Regions from separate parts of the Mus musculus genome. Here regions 2 and 3 are each reported to be linked to region 1. Evidence: microRNA targets listed by miRTarBase, many of them from high-throughput screens and not tested one by one. Region 1 holds a microRNA gene; each other region holds the end of a gene's coding sequence.
The links. Region 1 holds the annotated microRNA mmu-miR-301b-3p (CAGUGCAAUGGUAUUGUCAAAGC, at 2,282-2,304, shown strand). A microRNA usually pairs through its seed, bases 2 to 8, with sites in the 3' UTR of a target mRNA and lowers its output. Matches are read on the target gene's strand: a 7mer-m8 pairs with bases 2 to 8, a 7mer-A1 pairs with bases 2 to 7 and ends in A, and an 8mer does both.

Region 1 (7,120 bases):
TGAAAAGCACAGGAGCAGCAGCAAAACACTTTAATTTTACATTTGATTTTTATTTTTATGTGTATGGGTGTTTTGACTGCCCATATGTCTATGCATGCAATGGCTTTAGAGACCAGAAGACGATACTGGACTGGAGTTACAGATGCCTTTGAGACAACTTGTGGATCCTGGGCATGGAACCTGAGTCCTCTGGAAGAGCAGCCAACCCTCTTAACCACTGAGCCTTCTTTCTGGTGAGCCCCCTCTCTTTAAAGACAGTATTTCATGTAGTTCAGGCTGGTCTTGAACTTCTGGCTCTTTTCTCCACTTCCCAAATGTTGGAATTTCTGGATGTTTTATTTTGTATCTGTGTGGAGCGATGCAGTGTGGTGGCTGTATCCCCAGTACTGCAAAAACCTAGGAGGATTACCATAAGCACAAGGCTAGCCTGGTCTACTCTGTGAGTTCTCAACTAGCCAGCCGTGATATACGATGTCTCAAAAAACCAGCATTCTTTTTTTTCCCAAAGAAGACAAAACAATGTAGGGACTGAGATATTATGGGTCAGTGTTAATAGCATTGGTTGCTCTACCAGAGCATATGGGTTTCATTTCCAGCATGCATGTGTTTGCTTACAATCCTCTATAGTTTCAGTTGCAGAGGATAGAAAGCCTTTTGACCTCCCTGAACACTAGGCATGTACATGGTGGTACAGACAGGCAAACAAAGCACCCATACACAAAAAATTACATTTAAAATTAAGTGGACAAAATGAGTTCTTGAAGATCGAAAACCAGCTCTGTCTGCTTTAAAAATATTTTCTTTCAGCCTTTGAGCTGGGGGGTAAAGATTCCCTGTCTCATATGGATATAACTAGGGGTAAAGCTCAGACGCCAGCTGCAAAACTCTGTTTTTCCCTTCGCTGACAGAACTGAGTAGAACACCTCAGGTTCTGGGTGCTAGGTGCTGTGTATCTTTGGACATATTAGCTCAGAAAGGTCACTTAATGAACTCTTACCCATAAAGTGGTTCACATTCTCAATGACATCAATGACATCAGAGCATTTCTTCACTTACAAAAAGTGCCAGGGCCTCCTCAGCCCAGCCAGAGGTTTCCTGATGACGATGCTCTGAAGTTGGACAGAAAGAGGGAAGGCCACGGTTTTTAAGTAAATGTCCCATCCTGGAGGAGCAATGAACAAATTTCTCGCGAAATACGAAGCATCCCCTAGGGGTTCATTCAACCGCTGGCTTGGCCAAAGGACACTTTGCCGGGATCTCAGAGCCCTCGCTAATTTGGTGAGCTGTGTAGTAAGCATGGACGCGCCCTCATGAGTATCACTATAATAACTACAGAGAAATGAGCTGGGAAAAGGCGGACAGAGCTCCTTTTCAAGAGTTATGAATGAGGAGAAAGTGTTTGTAGAACTCATTGTTAAAACGGTGGAGCCAAAACTCGGGCGCCTGGCCAATCGGAGCCTGGAGGCTATTTTGAAATCTTTCCAGCAGCAGCCAATAGGTGCGCAGGAGGCAAAGCTTGGTGTAGGCGCAAGCCAATGAGGCTGGCGCTGTGCCTTGAGGCCCGGGGCTCGGCCCTCGGGACTGTCAGATGGTTAAAGATGGAGCCGAGGGAGAGAGGGCGCCACGAGGTGCTGAGGTGCGGGGTTGTCCAGATATGACGGGGCCGCCGCCTACCTGGATCTTCCACTAAGCTTCACCTTGTCCCCCTGGTGAGAACAAGAGGTGTCTGTCCACGTGAGTAACTGGTCTGGGATAGGGTGTGCGGTGAGGCCAGGGAAACTCCAGATGCCAGGAAGCCCTAGTTCTGCTCTTCTAGGCAGGAGAATCTGTTAGGATAGAGTGCAGAACTCATACTGGGGGAATGGACCAAGGACCGGATCTCGGACTCCAAGGGCCTCACGTGCAAGGAGTGAAGTATCCCTCTTATTCTAGTTCTGGTCTGAAACAGGGTACAAGTAGTCCCACTGTGCTCCCCTCTGCAACTGAGCGCAGGCCTCTCTCCTTTGTGTTTGAGCCCCCTCGGGTGCTCGCCCTTCAGCTCCCTCCTTGGAGTACCTCACCAGAATCAGAAGCCTGTTAGAGAAAGTTTGAGTTCCCTGAAGTTAATAAGTCCAGAGGACTGCATCCGGGCTGGAATCCCGTCTGTTCTCCGAGCTTGGATAGATGTCCCACCCACCCATGGTGGTTGAATTTCCAGCGCAGCCCTGCGTGCAGCGAGGGCGATGGATTTCCTGCTGGCTGCGGGTGCTCTGACTAGGTTGCACTACTGTGCTGTGAGAAGCAGTGCAATGGTATTGTCAAAGCATCTGGGACCAGCCTCGAAGACCACCTCACCTACTGTTCCTTCTTTCTTCCCTTTCCAGGCCTGGCCCCTCAGGCCTGCAGGCCGTACCCTCCCCCTGCTCATTTTACTCTCTTCTCCATGGAAACTTGAGATTGTAGCCAGGCCCGTGTCTCTGGGGTCAGAGGGCATCCTTTGCTCAGGCCGAGGCTCCGCCCAGGTGGGCATGCGTTCTAGGTCTAAGATCCCACTCCAGCCACCCCAACTCCCCATGCCCCGCCCCACCCCGTGAGACTGACAGGCTTGTTGGACACTCTTTCCCTGTTGCACTACTGTGGGCCTCTGGGAAGCAGTGCAATGATGAAAGGGCATCTGTCGGGCCAGCTAAGGAGCCTGAGGAACAAAAGGGTCAGTGCTTGGATCATAGTCTTAGATAGAGATAGCTATCTCTAGCTAAAAGGATAAGGTGGATGCTGAGAACCATATTCCAAGGCTGGAACCAGTACAAAGGGGAGACCCCAGATTTGGAAAGGCTCCAGTCTCAAGCTCTTAGCCCCCTCCCCCCAGGTTAAGATAGGGGAGTCTGCTGCAGGGGGCGCGGCGGTGAGTGAATGGTAGGTAGCTCATGCCTTAAATCTCAGCACTTGGAAGGCAAAGGCAGGTGGATCACCCAGATCTAGGGCATCCTGGTCTACATAGTGAGTTTTAGGACAGCCAGGGATACACAGAGAAACCGTGTTTTGAGAAAAACCAAATTAACTAATTAATTAATTAATCAATTAAAAAAGAAAGAAAGATTGGTGAGCCCATGTCTGGAGGCTGATGCAGGAAGATTGTCTCAGTTTTGAAGCTGTCTGAAGAATCAAAACAAAACTAGGAACTCCAGGACCTTGTGGAGAGAAACAGATGTTCACCTCTTTGTATGGAAAAGGTTTGTATACCTTGCTTAGCCTTGACTGCCTCGGGAAGAACTGGACTCAGCCTTTCCTGAGATAACCACACCTTGGGTTCACACCTTGAGGCTCAGAAGAAGTGTCCTGCCTGGGCCAGATGGATGGACTTGGAACAAGAAGCCTGCAGAGTAGGCCTGCCAGCCATGTCTGCTTGCTCCTTTACAAAGAGGGTATGTGCTGAGTAGGAGAGGCATGGAGGTGTCTGGTATGTCTGCTTTCCAGACAGGGCTGGAGCTCATTTTTATTTATTTATTTATTTATTTATTTATTTAATTTATATGAGTGCACTGTAGCTGTCTTCAGACACACCAGAAGAGGCCATCGGATCCCATTACAGATGGTTGTGAGCCACCATGTGGTTGCTGGGATTTGAACTCAGGACCCCTGGAAGAACAGTGCTCTTAACCACTGAGCCATCTCTCCAGCCCTGGAGCTGAATTTTTAAGGATGCCCGATCCTTAGTGTGCTTGCAGAGTTACCTTTAGCGGCAAGACCCAATGGCCCATGCCTTTGAATGCAGCACAGGGAAGGCATGGGTAGGTAGATCTCTGTGAGTTCAAGGACAACCTGGTCTACCCTGCACGTTCCAGAAGAGCTATATTTACATGGTAAAGCCCTGTTTCAATGCACCCACCCCTCTTTTACAAACAAACAAAAACCTAGTAGGAGGTGGTCAGGCCTGCCTCCTTGAGAGGAGGCCCAGGCTTCCAGATTCCCTTTTGGGAATAGATTGAGAAAATCAGCCTTAATAGTACTCTAGCTCCACAAGTCCTGGCACCCATGGGGACTGCTCTGATACATAATGAGTCTCAGGCCTGACGGAGGGCTTTGATGGGGAAGAAGCAACCACACTCCTTTGTGGCTAGGGTAGACGTGTGTCAGCAGCTGTTGCCACAGCAGATCCATCCTGAGGTGCTAGGAATCCTAACATGTGCATATCTTACATATCTTACATGTGCATATCTTACATATCTTACATGTACATATCAGGGGAGGTCTGGGCCGCAAAGGATTTAGGTTGGCTAAGTCACTTCTGTGAATTTGAATTGGCTCAGGGTGTAGAACACTTGCCTATTATGCACAAGGTCCTGGGTTTAATCCCTAGCACTCCAGAGGGGAGGGGAGGGAGAGGAAGGTAGCGGAGGTAGGTGTGAGGAGAGGCCACAGGAGGACATCAAGACATAGAGCAAGTAAGTGGTCATGGGTGCAGGCATGCAGTCTCTAATCCCATTGTTTGGGAGGCAGAGTTCCAGCCTGGTCTACAGTGGATTCCAATATAGCTAGAATTACATAGGAGACCTTGTCTCAAAAAACAAGCAAAAGAAGTGGTCAGGACATGATCTGGAGAGGGATGTGTGTAATGCTTCCGAGTAGGTAGGAAACTCAGAGGGTGCAAAAGCCAGAGCTAAAGCCCTTTGGGGGGCAGAAGGAAGTCCTTTTGGATATTATCTTAGTGAACTGGAAAGTAGATTCAATTACCAGGGCGGTCTGGTAGGGCAGAGTATGGAGGGAACTGCAAACTGGGAGAGGGCTGGGTGCTTTGAAACGGAAAGGACCACGGCTCAGAAGGAGGTCAAAATCCAGGAGCTCAAAATCCAGAAGGTACCTGGGTGCCTTTGGCGGTCACAGTGAGGGGTGGAGCAGTGGGGGCGGGGTGGGGTGGGGAGCACACCAATGCGCATGCCTAGAGAAGTGAGCATTGTTACGCGTACTGGTGCTGGACCCGCCCCCTGTCTCTGTGGGCATTCATTCCCTGGGGTAGACCGGGAGGGGGGTGGGTAGTCTGGGGATCTGGAGTCTGCACTGCGGCTGTAGGGAGAGAGTGGGTACGCCCTGCAGTCCTCATCCCGATGGTTTCCCATCACCTTTCTCAGTCCTGGCCCTCGGGAGGGTCTCCCTGCCCCAGGAGCCCTGCCCCGACGGTCGTTCTACCCACAGGTAGCATCGACCCACCACCAGCAGTCCATTTCCAATGGAAGTCCTGGATGAGTTCGACAACGAATTCCCCCTGAGTGTGACCTTCTGCCAGCTCATTTCCGAGGATGACTTCGAGAGGCAAGCAGCGACCTACACAGAGCGTGCACTGCGACGACTCTTCCGCACCTTGGATCGCAACCCAGCACTGGCGGAGAGAGTCGTGCGGAAGGGCAAGCAGACTGAGTTCGAGCAGCGCGGGCTCCTCTGCAGCCTCTGGGTGCGAGCTGCGGGCAGCGGGCAGCAGAAGTCCACTAACTCCCTAAACTAGGGAGGATCTTTGAGGGTGGGACTTTGGCTGAGGGATGAATGGGGAGGTTATCTATTGGCTGGGGCAGCCAAAGGGGTCTTTCCGAAGCCAAGAATACCAAGCCTGAGGAAGGAGCAGGCAAGCGACTCTTTTCTGGCTTCCCGCCTTTTCTCCTCCGTATTGCAGGCGAAGTTTGTCTGCGCTGTGCAGGGGGATCTAAACCAGTGCAATGACATGGGTGCCATAGAGATGCATCGGCGCCTGGAGCAGCTGAAGAGGCGCATACATCGTGTGCATCTGTATTCCCAGGGTGAGGCTCAATTTCTGAAGGTGCAAACCCTTGGGACTCTTAGCCCAGCTCATCTGCTCCCCCTCTGCCTCCCATCACATTACAGTGTCTATCAAGCTTAGATTGGTGAAATCTTAGGTGCACTCCCTGCCCTGGATTTGCCTCTCTTGGATCAGATTTAATGAAGAGCGATAATGTGGGCCTGGGACAGAAAGGGAGGAAGGAAGAAACACCTCCTAACAAGATTAGCTAATTTAGAGAATGACAACTGAGGGTGGGGGAGGGGTCGTAGACACATTTAATCTCAGCCTTAGGATATTTGTCTTAATTAACACAATTTATCTACTTATATATTTGAGACAGGGTCTTATTCTGAAGTCCTACTTGCCTCAAAATCTGCCTGCCTCTTTGCCTTCATATAGTGCTGGGAGTCTTGTGTGTGTGTCCCATGTGTTTGTTTAAGTGCCTGTGGAAGCCAGAACATGGCATTGGCTTCTCTACAGCTGTATTTATAGGTGCTTATTAGCCATCTGACATGCATGCTGAGATCTGAACCCAGGTCTTCTTTAAGAACAATGAGTGCTCATAACAACTGAGCTATCCTTCTAGCTCTTCTATTACGTTGACTTTGTATGTACATGTACAAGCACACTCACTTTCTGTTCTGCATATGTGGATGGCTGAGGACAGATTGCAGAAGACTCAGCTCTACCACAACTCAGGTTATCAGGCTGGGTGGCAAGCTCCTTTACCTGCTGAGCCATCTAGTCAGCCCTTATTGCTTGATAAGGCCTTGTATGTCCCAGGCTGACCTTAAACTTGTAGCTGAGATTAGCTTTGAACTTCTGATCCTCCTGCCTCTATCTCCTGAGTTTGGGGATTACAGGCATGCAACACCACATCCATCGAATGAACTCTTCCAGTGGGCTGGTGAGGTGTGCTTTAACACCCACTGTGCTCCGCAGACTCAGCAGTCCTTAAGACCTAAGAGCACAGTAGGTCCTGGCTCAGGGTCGAGCCAGACGTTTGGCTACTTTGTGGGTTCCCCTCCCTTCCATCCTTCAGCCCTCTTTCACCCTTTATCTAGATAAGAGAGAGTGAAAGGACACAGGCAAGGGAGCATTGTTATTGTTAGATACTGCTGATTAGGGGCATGGAGTTCCTTGAGGCAAGCTTGATCTTCACCATCAGGATATCCAGTTTCTTATTTCTTCTTTGTGTATGACTACTTAAACCACGACCAATAGCAACCAACCAGAAACCCACCAACAGTCCATCCCAACTCTTGGGGCCAGGATTTATATATCCTCTGAAGAATACTCAAAATGCCAAACGTCACACAGTGGCAAAAACTATCAACAGCTGGAAAAATG
Region 2 (7,120 bases), not on the chromosome of region 1:
TTGTGTTTCTTCAGGTTCCATCTGGGCTCCTATACCATACAAAGTATTGTTGCTGGATCTACTCACTTATTTTCAACAAAGACACATTTATCTGAGGTTGGTTGTACAAAATGCTAACAGGAAAAATGCAAGGCTCCTCTGTTGAAGTGACGTGGAGGCTTTTCGTGCTAATTCTAGTCCCTCTGTCTTCTTTCACCAATTCTAATGATTCCACACTGAGATTATTTTTAAGTGATTGCATGTATAGCAAGGAGATGAAATTCTAATTCCATTCTCAGCACTACTTGGTGTTTCCTCAATACAAATAATTTAAGTAGGAATAAAATTATTTTGAGGAATCTCATTCAAAAATGTGGATTTATTTATCAAGCCTAATGTTGACTTTTCCTTCGGAGTTCTTTTTCTATTTTAAGAAATAAGGAAAGAAGACATATAGACATAGTAGTAGAGGCACGAGCAGGGAAGGAAAGGGTCCTTTGTTTTTAAGATCACTTCAGATATTGTCACACTTGGTTGAGGCAAATACCTTGGGTGTTAAAGTATCAGGCTGTTCCTGAATGTTACCATACTCCCCCTACTTCCCAGGTGTCAGACCTTTGAGCCACCATCACACAGTTAAAACTTATTTCCAATGGCCAATCAGGGAGCCTCAGCCTTTCTTTGTTTAAAATACTTCTCTGTGGAATTTGCAGGTCCAGGCATTCTTTGAAAATCAGTCAGAGGCAACCTTGAAGCTTCGGTGTGTTCAGGAGGCTTTGGAAGTGATTCAGCTGAATATCCAGTGGATGGTCAGGAATCTGAAAACGCTCTCCCAGTGGCTGTAGCACTCACAGCTGATCTCCGGCGCCCATGGCTCTGCTGCTTTCGCAAAGGTTGAGTGAAGGCCGGCCTGCTGCTGAGTTGTTTGCACTGTTAGGAGTTCTAGTTAGCTCAGGGCCCAATTGTATTTTTCATATCTTTTCTGAAATGTCTTTAGGCAGTAGTTATTTATTACAAAATTATATTCACCTGTATGTCATCCATCTACAATAACAATGAATAACTTTTCTTTGACACACAAATGGAGAAAAAAGTCAGATTTGAAATTTTGTTTTATTTCTTAGTGTCCAGAGTATTACTGTTACAGTGCAACCAAGGAAGGTCTGCTGTAAGAACCACTGTGTTTGTAGGTTGCTGATTGATCAACTGTTTGTTGCTTTTTGTTAAATAGATACACCTGGGTTTGGTAGTGCAGTGGCAAAGACATTGAAGGTACAGCTCTAGACAGATGACCTGATTGGGGGTTCTTTAAAAAAAGTTTTGTCCAGTTTCCAGTTTTTTCCTGCAAAATAGCCAGGTTCTAAAGACTTTTTCATATTTCTGTTAAATTGAACAGCTGAACAGTCAGGCTCAAAGTTTCAGTTTTCCAAATATTTAACACTTTCTGCTTCATCTTCATGACACTATGTAGGAAGTGTTCTGAACTGAGTTAACATTAATTACTTTACTCATGAATTCCAGTACCCCTAACTTTGTATCCTGGTAAGGCCTTCCACCAGCTTTCTCCTGTAGAGGAGCACTCCATGCTTGGGAGGATTTCTCCTGTAGAGGAGCACTCCATGCCATGCTTGGGAGGATTTCTGTGAGCGCTGGTGGCTTTGTCATTACTTTCACCCAAGAATGTAATTTGTTTAAGTTGCTGTTTGAACCTTACAAATCATACCCTCTTCTCTGTGAATCATACCCATGTGTGGGTTTTACTTTATGTTACAGAGTATATTAGAAGCATTTCTTAAATAGGATCTTCAAGAAATTAAAGCTTTTTATTTTGAAGTTCACCATAATACCTTAAAGGAATAATGAGAATGTGGAGCAGGAGGAAGTTGAAAATATGGTGGGCTATGAATTCTTTTTTTCACTGTTAAAAACAGTGTTTTTATTTAGTTGAAAAAATTACAGGTTTTTTGTTTGTTTGTTTGTTTGTTTATCATGGCCAAACTACGTTAAACAGAGTGGCCAAGAATCAAGCAGAGGACAAGGGAGGGAGGGAACCCAGAGCAGAATGTGGGCGCTTTCACTCCTTCTGAAGGAGAAGGATTGTACTTGAACTTTTTGAGCTATGCAGACTTATTCCTAGATTGTTGTGTTTCTTTGAATCTTAGGAGAGAAGCTTTCTTCTTAATAACTCATGAGAAGTCTATATTTTGTTTGAAAACAGTGTCTGTGTACATAAAAAGGGAATCACTCATTTCTGAACACTGAAAACACTCCACAGAGTCAGACCATAGAGAGGCCACTTGTTTTTATTCAGCTGTTGTAAAGTTAGAATATGTGGAGTTATATACAAAGTTATAGTTTATTTTATGAGAATATTTTTATATAATAAAATTTTAATGGCTGACAAGCTGAAAATAGCCTGCTTTAATCCTAGAGTTTGCTCCCAATTTCATCTTTTCTAAACAGTTTTTGGGTTTTTGTTTGTTTGTTTGTTTTTTAATTTGTGCTTTTTTTAGTAGAAACTGTTATTCCTGAGAATCATAGAATCATCTTTCTATTTTAGTGAAATAGGTAATTATAGATCTCTATTCCCCTTGTATTTTTGGTAAATGTCTGACAGTTGTGTTGATACTGAAGGTTAGTAGGGTTTTATATTTTTAGAGTGAAGGACAAATACTCTTGTGGGTTTTGGTTGTCCCTTTTCATTTTTTACCATGCTGTATTACTAGATTATACTTTGATAACAGAGTTTAACTTTTGCTACTTCTCAAGATCAGTTCAACCTTGAGATTTACCTGCCCATCTTTTTGTTGATCTTATAGTCTTTGTAATTCTGCATATGGCAAATCTTGTCCTAAATAATACTTTTTTTCCATGTATGAGTGTGAATATTTGTGGTGTGCTGTGTTGTAGATAAAGCCTTATGAGGATATGGGCTTAAGGAGAGGTAATCCTTGATCCAGTGCGATTAGTAGCTGCTCGTTCCCAGGATGCTGGAGCCATATTTTAAGTCTTACCTATAACCTTCACCTGACTTTTTAAAAAATTTTGGTAGGCCTCTTAATTTGCCCCCAGAATTCTGTACGTTTTCATGCTTTGTTAGCTCGTTTATGTACAGCTTCTTAGCTAACTCAAAGTCAGTTCTGTATGACTGAGAGGTGGCACTTGTAGTCTAAGAAGTATGTTGGTAGCATTCAAATTTCCTTCCTCTAAGATTTAATTCTTCTCTCTGTACTTTTAGGAAGGAAAATTGAAGCACGGGGGGTCAGCTTGTGCTTTGGGCATAAACACACAAAATGCCTGACAGCTTTGGGTAGCAGTTGAATGAGCATTCTGATCACTACAGAGAAGGGGTGTTCTTGAATGCAATGTGAAAGGTACGTCTTGATTAGGAAAAGTAGAATTGGAATTCTAGACTTGAGAAAAAGAATCGATTGGGAGATCTGAGAGTTTATTAAAGCTGGGAATTGGAGGAGACAAGTTTCCTCTGCTAATATGACATTAGATATAATAAAGTAGTGGTCATGCCCCCACCCCAGAGGCTCATGCTCTCTTCTGTCTCATTGTATTAGTCATTGTTTCAGAGTGTTCAAAGACTTTCTTGCTATCATAGGTTCTACTTAATTTTCTTTGCCATATGTGTTTTTATTTTTATGAGATTTTAGCCACCATTGGAGCAAAAGCTGCCAGAAGAGTCCTGGGTATAAACAAACAAATCCAGCTGCATGAGGTTTACTGGGTACCCAACAATTCTTGCTGATTATTGCGAAGCAAGAAACTAAAATTAAGTCCTGTGTTGTTGCATGATTGTTAGTCTGTTGTTAAATTGGATTGTAAAGATGGTTACTTAATCTAAAGAACCTGAACTGATGATCTTCAGCCAGACTGCTGAGCACTTATAGAGACCATGTGTTGTGTGGGCTCTAGGATAGCACGGTCTGTCTCAGGTGCTCTGTTGCCAAGGAGTGCAATGAGTTTGCATCTAGGAATGCGTTGCTTTACATAGCCTCTAAGGATTGGGACCATGGGTATAATGTAGGTCTTCTTACCTTTGCCTTACTTTTGTTTATGTGGAATTAAATCTTCTTCTACTACTTCTTCTTCTTCTTCTTCTTCTTCTTCTTCTTCTTCTTTTTTGGTAATGTTCTGTCTTCTCATGTTTGTATTTCTTGAAACTCAGGTATATATTTTTGCTGGGGTTTTTGTTCTTTTATTTTGTTCTTAAAGCTCTAAAATATCAAAAAAGTTTCAAATGAAAAATGGAGGTCCCAAAGTATGACAGATTACTCTTTCCCCATCCTTTATTGCCCGGTTAGTCAACAACTAGTAGAGTAAGTTATTGACCTTTAGAGAGTTGTAGAGGTTTTTGGGCGGGGCGTGGGGGGAGGGTGTTAGTGTTGATACATATTTTGAAACATATACATGTATTTTTAGATGTTTTTATATTTTATAAATTTTGTCCTGTTAATGAAAGAGTGAAGTACTGCTTTCTGATAATCTCTCCTCTTCCCATATTGCCTACTATAGGCAAAGTTGTAAAATAATTTAAGTTTTGAAACAGTGTGAGTTTCAAGAGGGGAACAAGGTAGCTTCTTTTAAGAGTGTGTAGAAATAGTTTTGCTGCTATTTGGCGCTTACTTAATGCTGCTCTCTATACATTTTTCTTGTGGACATGTACATAAGCCATGCAAGGACACACAGATGTTTGGCAATAACAGAATGATAATAGTACCTGTTGTTTTGCTCTAGTCTTAGGAACTTAGGTTGTCGCTCATCCTTTCAAACATGTTGTAAGTGCAGTGCCACTTGTATTTCACTTTGACTTGTCTCTGCATAGGCACGTGATTACCATGGTGATTGAGAATGACTGATTCTTCCCTTTTTCTTGTTGCCTCTTAAGGCAAGAACTGTAGAAGAGAGTAGAATAGTGCTTGCTATGGCCTTTTATTACTGATTCATTAGGTTCTATGCCCTTCAAACATATGTGAAAATACCTGATGAAATGTGGAAGACTACATGTGAACAGTCCTCTCTTCTCTCACCTCTTACGGCCTGTTGGCCATCTGAGTGGAAGATGGAGGGAAATGTACTTAATGTCTGTATATATGTTCTTACTACTGTATTGCTTTAGTTCTCTGGGTGATCACAGTGGAAGATCCCCAATGTACCATGGAGTTAAGATGTACAGCAGTGCCCTCTTTCCCTTTATTGCCTCGGTACAATACTTCTTAAAAGTATTTTGAATGTTTGAAAGTTGGGTTTGGGTTTCTGGTGGTGGTTGGTTGGTTGGTTGGTTTTTGCTAAGCTGGAAAAGTAGTTTGGAGGCAGAGTGTATACTTTTCAGGTGTACAAACGTGTTGTCGCTGTGCTTTTCCTTCCTTGTTTTCCCTGTCCTTTCTATGGCTTTATGAGTAAAGCTAGAAATCTCTCCAAGAGGTTTCTTCCTTATGTTGGCCATGCAGTATCATTGACAGTAGCATTGACAGTGACCTGGAGCTGCTCCTGGGGGCTGAGGAGCTGGCATCTGCTTTTCCTATGTGTGTCCCTAGGTGCTCTTGCTTCTTAATCACTTAAGCCATTTCATTGGGTGCCTGTCCTGATGAACTGTGGAGCTCCGAATTTAGTGTCCTCCCATTCCTGTTCCATCTCTGTGAGTAGGCTTTTCTTTTTAGGTTTTTTTTTTCTCTTAGCTTTACTGGGGACTAAGGGCGAGAAATATATTCTTTATAAATATAAATAATTTTGTTACTATACTGTATTATTTCATTTGGTACTGAATCCTTTACATGGGCATTTAAGTACCTAATGAAACGTGGAGGTCCGGATGTATGAAAACTTCCTCTTTTCCCTTTTCCTCATTGCCTCTGTGGGCAATAGCTGTAGAATAGCATAGATTTTCTAATTCTCTTCCACCCAGTAGGTGGAAGTATGTATATACTTTAAAATGTAAATATAAATTTTTTAAACTTTTTGTTGTTACTTCATTTGTACCTAAATCTATTTGTGGACACTTAGGTACATAAAGAATATTGAGGTTCATTCTATGAAAAATCTCCCCTTTCCCTTCCCTCATTGCCTGTCTGGGCAATGGCTTGTAGAGTAGTTGTGTAGCTTTGGCATGGGGGTGTAGGGTGAGAAGAGTTCTGGGTTTTTACCTTTTTGGATGTATTTAAAAGTCTGTCAGTTATTTCAGTTTTTCACTCTCAATCTGTGTTTGTGTTATCAAACAAACCAAGAGTCTATATCTATGCCCAGAAGTGTGGAACATCTGCCCCTTCTCTGTCACCTGTGCCATATTGCAGTAGTGTATACGTACTATAAGGCTTGAGTTCTTGTTTTGTCTGTTGCTTATAGCATAGCTTGTTAGAGAAAAAGGTAACCATATAATATATATGTATATATGATTGTAAATGCCTTGTGGTGTTAACTTCATTTTGAACGTGGTCCTTGGTGCGACTATTTTTACTCTGTACTTAATGAACACTGAGATTGATTCTATGAAAACTCTCCACAGTCCCTATCCCTCACTGCCTGGTGGGCAGTGGTAGACTAGATGTTTTATTTGCTTATCTTTTGTTTGCTTTGTGGGGGTCTGGGTGTTTATATATTTTTAATGTATATATAATATTGCTATATTCTGTATATTATTCCACATAACACCAGTTCTTTGCTGGAATTTGTAGATACATAATGCAACATTGAGGTCCAGAGGTATGATAACTCTCCCCTGCTCCCTTTTCCTCATTGCCTACAGAGGCAATACTTTTATAACTTGGTTTTTTTTTTTTAGGGGGTGGGAATGGGATTGCTTAGGTGGGTAGTGGTTAGGGGAAAGGGTGAGTGCATGATTTTAAAATATATTTTTTCATGGTACTGATTAGGCCCCTAGTCCTTTACATGGATAGGTGAGTACCTAATCAAAGTTGAGGATCAGTGTATGACGTATCTCCCATTCTACCCTTCCCTGGATGCCAGTATTGGCAAGAGTGAGTAAAGCAGCTGTGTCTTATTTACTTGTTTTGGATTTATATTTTTGATAGTAGACTATTCTTAATATAAAGTTGTCATGTTTTTATTTCATTTTGTGTTCAGCCCTTTGCCTAACTGTAAAGAACATCATGAAAATTAGTTTCATAAGATGACA
Region 3 (7,120 bases), not on the chromosome of region 1:
GCTTGAATAGTGCTAGAGGCTTAGACTCACAGACTTCCTCACTACTTTTAAATGACCTGCCCCTTTCAGTCACTTCAAAAGCAAAATTAAAAGAATCGGCATAAAGAGGAACCCCTGACCATCATGTCCCCTATGTGATATTTTCCAGGTCCAGTGGCATTGCAGATGCCGGATGATTGCAGGAGCCAATTTCTACATTGTGGGTAGGGATCCCGCAGGAATGCCCCATCCTGAGACAAAGAAAGACCTATATGAACCCACCCACGGGGGCAAGGTCTTGAGTATGGCCCCTGGCCTTACCTCTGTGGAAATAATTCCGTTCCGAGTGGCTGCCTACAATAAAATTAAAAAGGCCATGGACTTTTATGATCCAGCAAGGTAGGTTTCTGGAGAAAAAAAAAATTAATTGACATGACAACTGTCCTGATGAGGGAAAACTTTGACCCTCTGGAAAAAGTCTCCAGTCTACAGGCTTCCAATGGGAAAGACACCCTTGAGTTATAGACCTGCTCTTGCAAATGCTGTGTCCCCTGACATTGTTGGCAGAGTCCTCTGCATGTAGGTGTTGGTCTGTAAACATTTCTCTTTGGTCCGATGGATATAGCTTACTAGCAGAATACTTGCCTAGCATTTGCACAGCCCTGGCTTTGATCTCCAGGAACCCCACAGAAAGTTCTTGAGCTGGGCATAGTGCTACATGCCGACAGTCACAGCACAAGGGAGCTAGAGGCAGGCTGGTCATCTTTGGCTACATCAAGCTTTAGGCCAGGCTAGGCTATATGAAACTCCATAGATCTGCCTTATGTAGACACCTAACACCTAACCTTTAAGTGAAAGGACATGGGGAGAGACGCTTTTCAATGAGCACTTATGGCACATGTCTGTTCCATACCAACTTCACACAACAAGTTAATCTCTGGCCTCAAGATATAAAAGAGAGGTGTGCAAGAACCACTGTGCAAACACCTGCTTTTATCCCTTCTTTGTTCCACAAGATTCGGAGCTAAAGACTGAGACAACTGCCCATTTTAAAACATTTGGCTGTTTACAGAAAAAAGAAAAAAAATGCAAAATAAAATCAGCAATGTAGCCCCAGGGATCTTTAAAGAGCTGCTACTTCCCTCTGCTGAACTCTCTGTTGCTGTACTGACAGGCACGAGGAGTTTGACTTCATCTCAGGAACTCGCATGAGGAAGCTCGCCCGGGAAGGAGAAGATCCCCCAGATGGCTTCATGGCCCCGAAAGCGTGGAAAGTGTTGACAGATTACTACAGGTCTCTGGAGAAGACCAACTAGGTGCTCCTGGCTCTGGCTTCTTCCTCAAGTGCTCTCTGACGATTTTTTTTTTCTATTTTTGTGATTTAGCTGCTCTGTATCCAATTGCTTCTCGGTGACTTTTTAAAGCTAGTATTTTTGCAATGAAGTAAAAAGCTGTAACCATAATTTAAAACCAAGTTCATTATGTCTATGAAGCTCACACTGGAGACTGAGTCTTAGGTGAAAGCAATATCGTTGTACGTTCCAGAATGAAAGCATTTGCACTGTACACTTCATCTCAGCCACTATGTCTCAGATTTCTTAAAAATGTAACTGTGTGGCTAGCTGACTAGCCCAGAACAGAATCATACTTTCCAGCTTACTTGTGCCAGCCTGGAATCTCAATGTCACTTACCAAAAGAAAACACACACACACACACACACACACACATACATACACACACACACACACACATATACATACACACACACTGTCGCTTTGAAGGAAATGTGTTATATCAGGACTCTTACTTCATAACTACACATACCATCACTGCCCAATGTACGAGCTGAAGATGCAACTGGAAGAAAAATTCATGTGAAGATGTAAATTAAGTCTTAAAGAACAATGTAATTTATGTCTGCCATGAAAATGTCATCATCCAATAGAGAGAGACGCTCTAATGGCCTTCTATGAATAGTTACTCTAGTTTGGCTGGCACTTTTCAAAAGCATGGTATGCTTGGATCAAAACAACCCCCCCCCCAGACTAAACCACCAGGGTATATTGTAGACTACTTTCCCCACACTTTGCTGTGGCCATAGTTATTATAGAAGCACCTAAGTGATCGCTGTAATCAAAACCAACCCACATTATTAATGAGAAGCTAAAACTTGATTTCTGTAGCAAAGATAAAATCCAAACATCATCCTAGTGAAGATATATACACATAAGCTTTGAGAGCTGCTGAGCACTGTAATATACAAAGTTGACATTAGTGAATACTGCCGACACTGAAAGACTGACCATCCTCCTAAGCTAGGGCCCTGCCTACCCTAGACAACACAGGAAGAGGTTCCGATTTCCTGAAGCTACTTAGTGAAGCTCTCCTTGAGGATGCTAAGAAGCAACCACCTTGGAGACCGAAGGTTTAGGGTATCCCAAACTCTTGATGTTATAAGTTTCCAGAATGAACCTGTTGTGAGATGTCCTTTGATGGTTTATTTGCTAAGAGGGAATTTTGGTATTTTATGCATGGTTCATTGTTGCCAAGAAATACATAAGAGAAAAGGCATCTTTACATACAGGTTTCTTTGGAAGAGACCACAGACTGAAAAGAGAAACTGATTTTTTTCATACTGCCACGTTTTTTAAAAATGCTAGGAAAAGCTCTACTGAGAGTAAGTTATATACTGTGACCACAGCAAAGTGAGTCTTCGACTGTATGGCGCCTGTGCTCACTTACATCAGAGCTATTTATTCACTGCTGCCTTTAAAACTATGTCTTCACTGAAAACGTGACAGGGTTGTAGTGCCTTCTTAGCATATGAAGTTGTGATTTTAAGACAGTAGAGTGCCTTTCTGCTGTAGCACACAGCATAACTGTTTCAGTGTCCCGCTGGTACCTGTTCTTATTCAATAAATCTCTCAAAAGACCACGTTGACTGGTGATTTTGGTTACTGCCTCAGTGGCCATGTCAGGGGGTCATAGCAATGTCTAACTGGAGAGCAGTATCTACTCTCTTCTAGGCGCCCTTATTCACATCATTTTCACACTTGACTTTCAGATGTAAATGACTCATAGTCTTAGCTGGACACCTGCTTCTCCGAGGTGACTGGGTTACTTATGAAATTCTACCCAGAATTTCACTGCAGGACAATCTAAGGTGATGAAGCCAAAGCCCTTGCTCTTATAGGTATAGATCTTATCTTCAGACCCTCCTTAGCAGCCAGTATTCTGTGTGCCTAAGGCAGTACATTTCCACTCTCATGCTGGGGGAAGGTGGGCCGCTAGGCACAAAGCTCTTGCTTCTTCCTGAGTGCCTGATGTACTTCTAATGGCATCATGCAAGTTTTCTGCTACTTCACCACAAATATTAGTAGTGTAATCGCCAATGCAAAGCTATCACCTGGTGCTGAGTCATGGCTCAGCAGGTAGACTGTTTGCCTAGCATGCACACAGGCCTTGGTTTGATTCTCAGCACTGTATAAATCAGACACAGTGGCACATACTTGTTTATCCCAGTGTTGGGAGGTAGAGGCAGGCATATTAGAAGTACAATGTTTCCTAGGCTATGGAGTGAGTTTGAAACTAACCTGGGCTGCATAAGATCCAGTCTCAAAAAAAAAAAATTAATTAATTAAAAAAAAATGAGTGAATGGTATCATTTGTAGTTCCTTTGTTGTTTTCTCCTCAGATCATAGTTGGTGACTCCTATTATCAATTAGTAGGGTACACAAGTCCAAGAAATGTCTATGATCATGTGTCACTCTTAAGGAAGTGCAAACAAATCCTGGAAAAGCATACATAAATCAATCAGTCAGACCTTACATCAGTGTACTGGCAGGTGTTATGTGTCAACTTGACACAGCTGGGGTTATCACAGAGAAAGGAGCTTCAGTTGAGGAAATGCCTCCATGAGATACAACTGTAAGGCATTTTCTCAATTAGTGATCAAGGGCGAAAGGCCCCTTGTGGGTGGGATCATCTCTGGGCTGGTAGTCTTGGGTTTTATAAGAGAGCAGGCTGAGCAAGCCAGGAGAGCCAGCAAGTAAGGAACATCCCTCCATGGCTTCTGCATCAGCTCCTGCTTCCTGACCTGCTTGAGTTCCAGTCCTGACTTCCTTGGTGATGAACAGCAGTATGGAAGTGTAAGCTGAATAAACCCTTTCCTCCACAACTTGCTTCTTGGTCATGATGTTTGTGCAGGAATAGAAACCCTGACTAAGGCCATCAGTATTTATCAGGCCCCAATATTTCTTTCTAACCCATCTGTCCTGCAAATAAACAATCTTGGTTCCTCAAGAACAGCAAGTTTGCATTCCCCTCCCCCATTTCCCACTTTTCTATGAGGCATCTGAGTCTTGCAAGCATTTATATTCTGCATAGGTGTCCTTCCAGGCAAGAAACCAGTGAATCTAACAGACGAGCTAGTTGTTCTTGTGCCTAAAGGTTTAAGGGGACGATGCAGCTTTTGAATGACTCAAATGTCCATTGTCTACTAATAGGCAGTTAGAGACCGTCTGTATAGGGATGCTGATCTTTCCCAACCCTGGCATCAACATAGTTCCTTGGGGAATACTTTTACTGGGTCGCACAGAACAGTTACCAAACGAAGATGGCACTCAAACGGTTCACTATATGCATTCCAAAGTTATTTTACTTAAATTAGTAAAAACAAATGGGCTACTTGCTAGATTTGAACATTTTAGCCAGGTTCTAGAGGTAAAAAAAAAAACTATTTTATTATGAGGCTAGCAAATCAGAGTGGGGAAAACAATTTTTAAAAACAACAAAAAACAAACAAACAAACAAACAACCCAAAAGAAAACAAGCCAACCCTCTTCATTTGGAGAGAAGTAAGCCATTCAGAGGTAAGCTTGGCCTTACCTTGGCAGTATTAGTGCAGAGAGTAGACCAGTATGAATGGAGGAAGGATCTGTGTGTTTATCTGCCAGGGATATTTTGCAAAGATGAGGGTAATTCAGGAGAGATTGAAGACAACAGTGTATTTATTGGGACAAACTGCAAGGGCAAACACACCTACAAAAATAGACCGCTAGGCTACAATCCCGCTACTTTGAATTTTGTCAAGAACATGCCAGGAAAGGGTCTAGATGCCTTGTATGTTCTCAAGATGACTGGATTCCACCTTTCAGAATTAAAAACAAATGAAAGCGACAAGCATCTGAAGGTGGAACCCAAACTCCTCCCAGCTCCAAAAAACAAGATGGAAAAGCTGGTATCGGGGTGAGTAGGGGCTCAGCCAAGCCAGCCAACTTGTTCAGTTAAAGACACCGCACAGGTCCAGTGCAACTAGGACTGGAACAGGCAACGATCTGCCCTTTACTCTTGTCAGAGGAAAGGTCTTGCACTCACTGGAAACAAAAACCTGTGTTTTGTTTCACTTTCCACAGCTCTCTTGTATCAGCCAGCTAGTATAAAAACATTAAGTTATTTTACCTAGGCAGAGTTGGCCATAGTAAATAGCACTCCAAGCGAAAGAACTTAGCAGGGTCCCACACACCAGCCCTTGGAAGCCTGTCCACAGGAATGGCTCCCTTCTCATTCTCTGCACACCCACTGGGTTACCTGTGGTTCACAGTCAGCTGGCTAACTGCCACTCTAGTTTGTCCAACACTCTCTCCAGAAGTTTTTAGAATGAATTTACCCATCTCCTTTTGTTCTTAGTCTCAATGTCTCCAACAGACCCCTATACTCAATGCCATCTATTTTAATAACCCAAGGAGTTCTCAGAACAACAGGCAAAGTTCCTGAAGGCCAATGAAGGAATAATAGAAGGCCTTGAGCAATCTTTGCTAAAAATAAAACCCATTTGGAGCTCAATATTTAGATCGGTTCCTTCAGCTCCCCTCTGAGGCCAGGCATCCCACCTGCTTCAAATAAATTATTTTCTAGATTATCTACAGTTGGTTGCTGCCAACAGAATCCTAGTTGGGTAGTCTTTCTAAGATTGACTAAGGCCTAGATGTGCCTGTGAAGAGGCATAATGACATATGCTATCTGTAGAGTATCTGATTTCTGAAATCTAATGCATCTTTAAAACAATGTGGTCCACCGGGCGTGGTGGCGCACGCCTTTAATCCCAGCACTCGGGAGGCAGAGGCAGGCAGATTTCTAAGTTCGAGGCCAGCCTGGTCTACAAAGTGAGCTCCAGGACAGCCAGGGCTTTACAGAGAAACCCTGTCTCGAAAAACCAAAACAAACAAACAAACAAAACCCAAAACAACAATGTGGTCTACATTATGTCTTGATTACACATTTATATATCCGTTATCAATTCTTTTTGGTGTTTGGTTAGAACTGCGCCATCATGGTGGCCATTGAGGCTCCAGGCACTAGGAAAACTGATGCAGGAGTTTCAGGACAGCCTGGGAGACCCTCTCTCAAAAACAAACACCTGAACTGTCATGGTTTCCAAACCCATGTTTTTTATGTGTCCCACAACATAGCACTAACATTCACTTCATCTTAGTTCAAAGCACAAAAGCTATCTAAAACCAGTCTCAAAATTTTGATTTATGTGTGTTTATCATGTGAGTATGGCTGCTTGCAGGCACCAGGAGTTTGCCTTGGAGTCTCTGAAATGGGAATGTCAGAAAATTGTGCGGGAAGGAACTGGGTGCTGGGAATGAACCTTGTGTCCTTTGAAGAGCAGCATGCACGCTCTTAACTGCTGAGCCATCATTTCAGTCTCCACAAAAAAAAAGGTTTAGAACTGTAAATATTAAGACTACCACAAAAACCACCCCATCAGAATTTTAGTAATACTCTCACTGGCTACTATCATAAACGGTTGTAACAATTACCAGGTTTGCCAGCATGTCTTCAATTAACATTGTGAAATGACTTTCTTGATTTGATTTCATTTACATGGTAACTCTTAGCTACTTTAGTAGGTTCAGTTAGATTGTTTCATATGGATCAGATCCTCTTAAATATGATTGCAACAGATTTATTATTTTTAATTGTGATTTATTATTTTTAATTGTGTGTGTGTGTGTGTGTGTATGTGTGTGTGTGTGTGTATGTGTGTGTGTGTGTGGGTAGGTAGGTGTATGTGTACATGTGAATGCAGGTGCTCACAGAGGCATTAGAGTCTCATGGAAATGGAATTATACA

Region 2: the mRNA of Lnpep is a reported target of mmu-miR-301b-3p. Seed matches in the 3' UTR shown: 7mer-m8 at 905-911.
Region 3: the mRNA of Papss2 is a reported target of mmu-miR-301b-3p. Seed matches in the 3' UTR shown: 7mer-m8 at 1,536-1,542.

The regions. Positions count from the first base shown.
Region 1 is chr16:17,119,604-17,126,723 of GRCm38, reverse strand. It overlaps Mir301b (microRNA 301b), which reads left to right and starts at 2,228; the gene lies at 2,228-2,324. It overlaps 2610318N02Rik (RIKEN cDNA 2610318N02 gene), which reads left to right and starts at 1,522. Exons shown (of 7, transcript NM_001358255.1): 1 at 1,522-1,734; 2 at 5,173-5,428; 3 at 5,645-5,768. The coding sequence starts at 5,207. It overlaps Mir130b (microRNA 130b), which reads left to right and starts at 2,582; the gene lies at 2,582-2,663.
Region 2 is chr17:17,523,453-17,530,572 of GRCm38, reverse strand. It overlaps Lnpep (leucyl/cystinyl aminopeptidase), which reads left to right. Exons shown (of 18, transcript NM_172827.3): 17 at 15-96; 18 at 693-2,850. The coding sequence ends at 824. Among named protein-coding and RNA genes, the nearest start is that of Gm41537, 36 kb to the right of the region's middle.
Region 3 is chr19:32,664,273-32,671,392 of GRCm38, forward strand. It overlaps Papss2 (3'-phosphoadenosine 5'-phosphosulfate synthase 2), which reads left to right. Exons shown (of 13, transcript NM_011864.3): 12 at 149-378; 13 at 1,154-2,915. The coding sequence ends at 1,295. Among named protein-coding and RNA genes, the nearest start is that of Atad1, 44 kb to the right of the region's middle.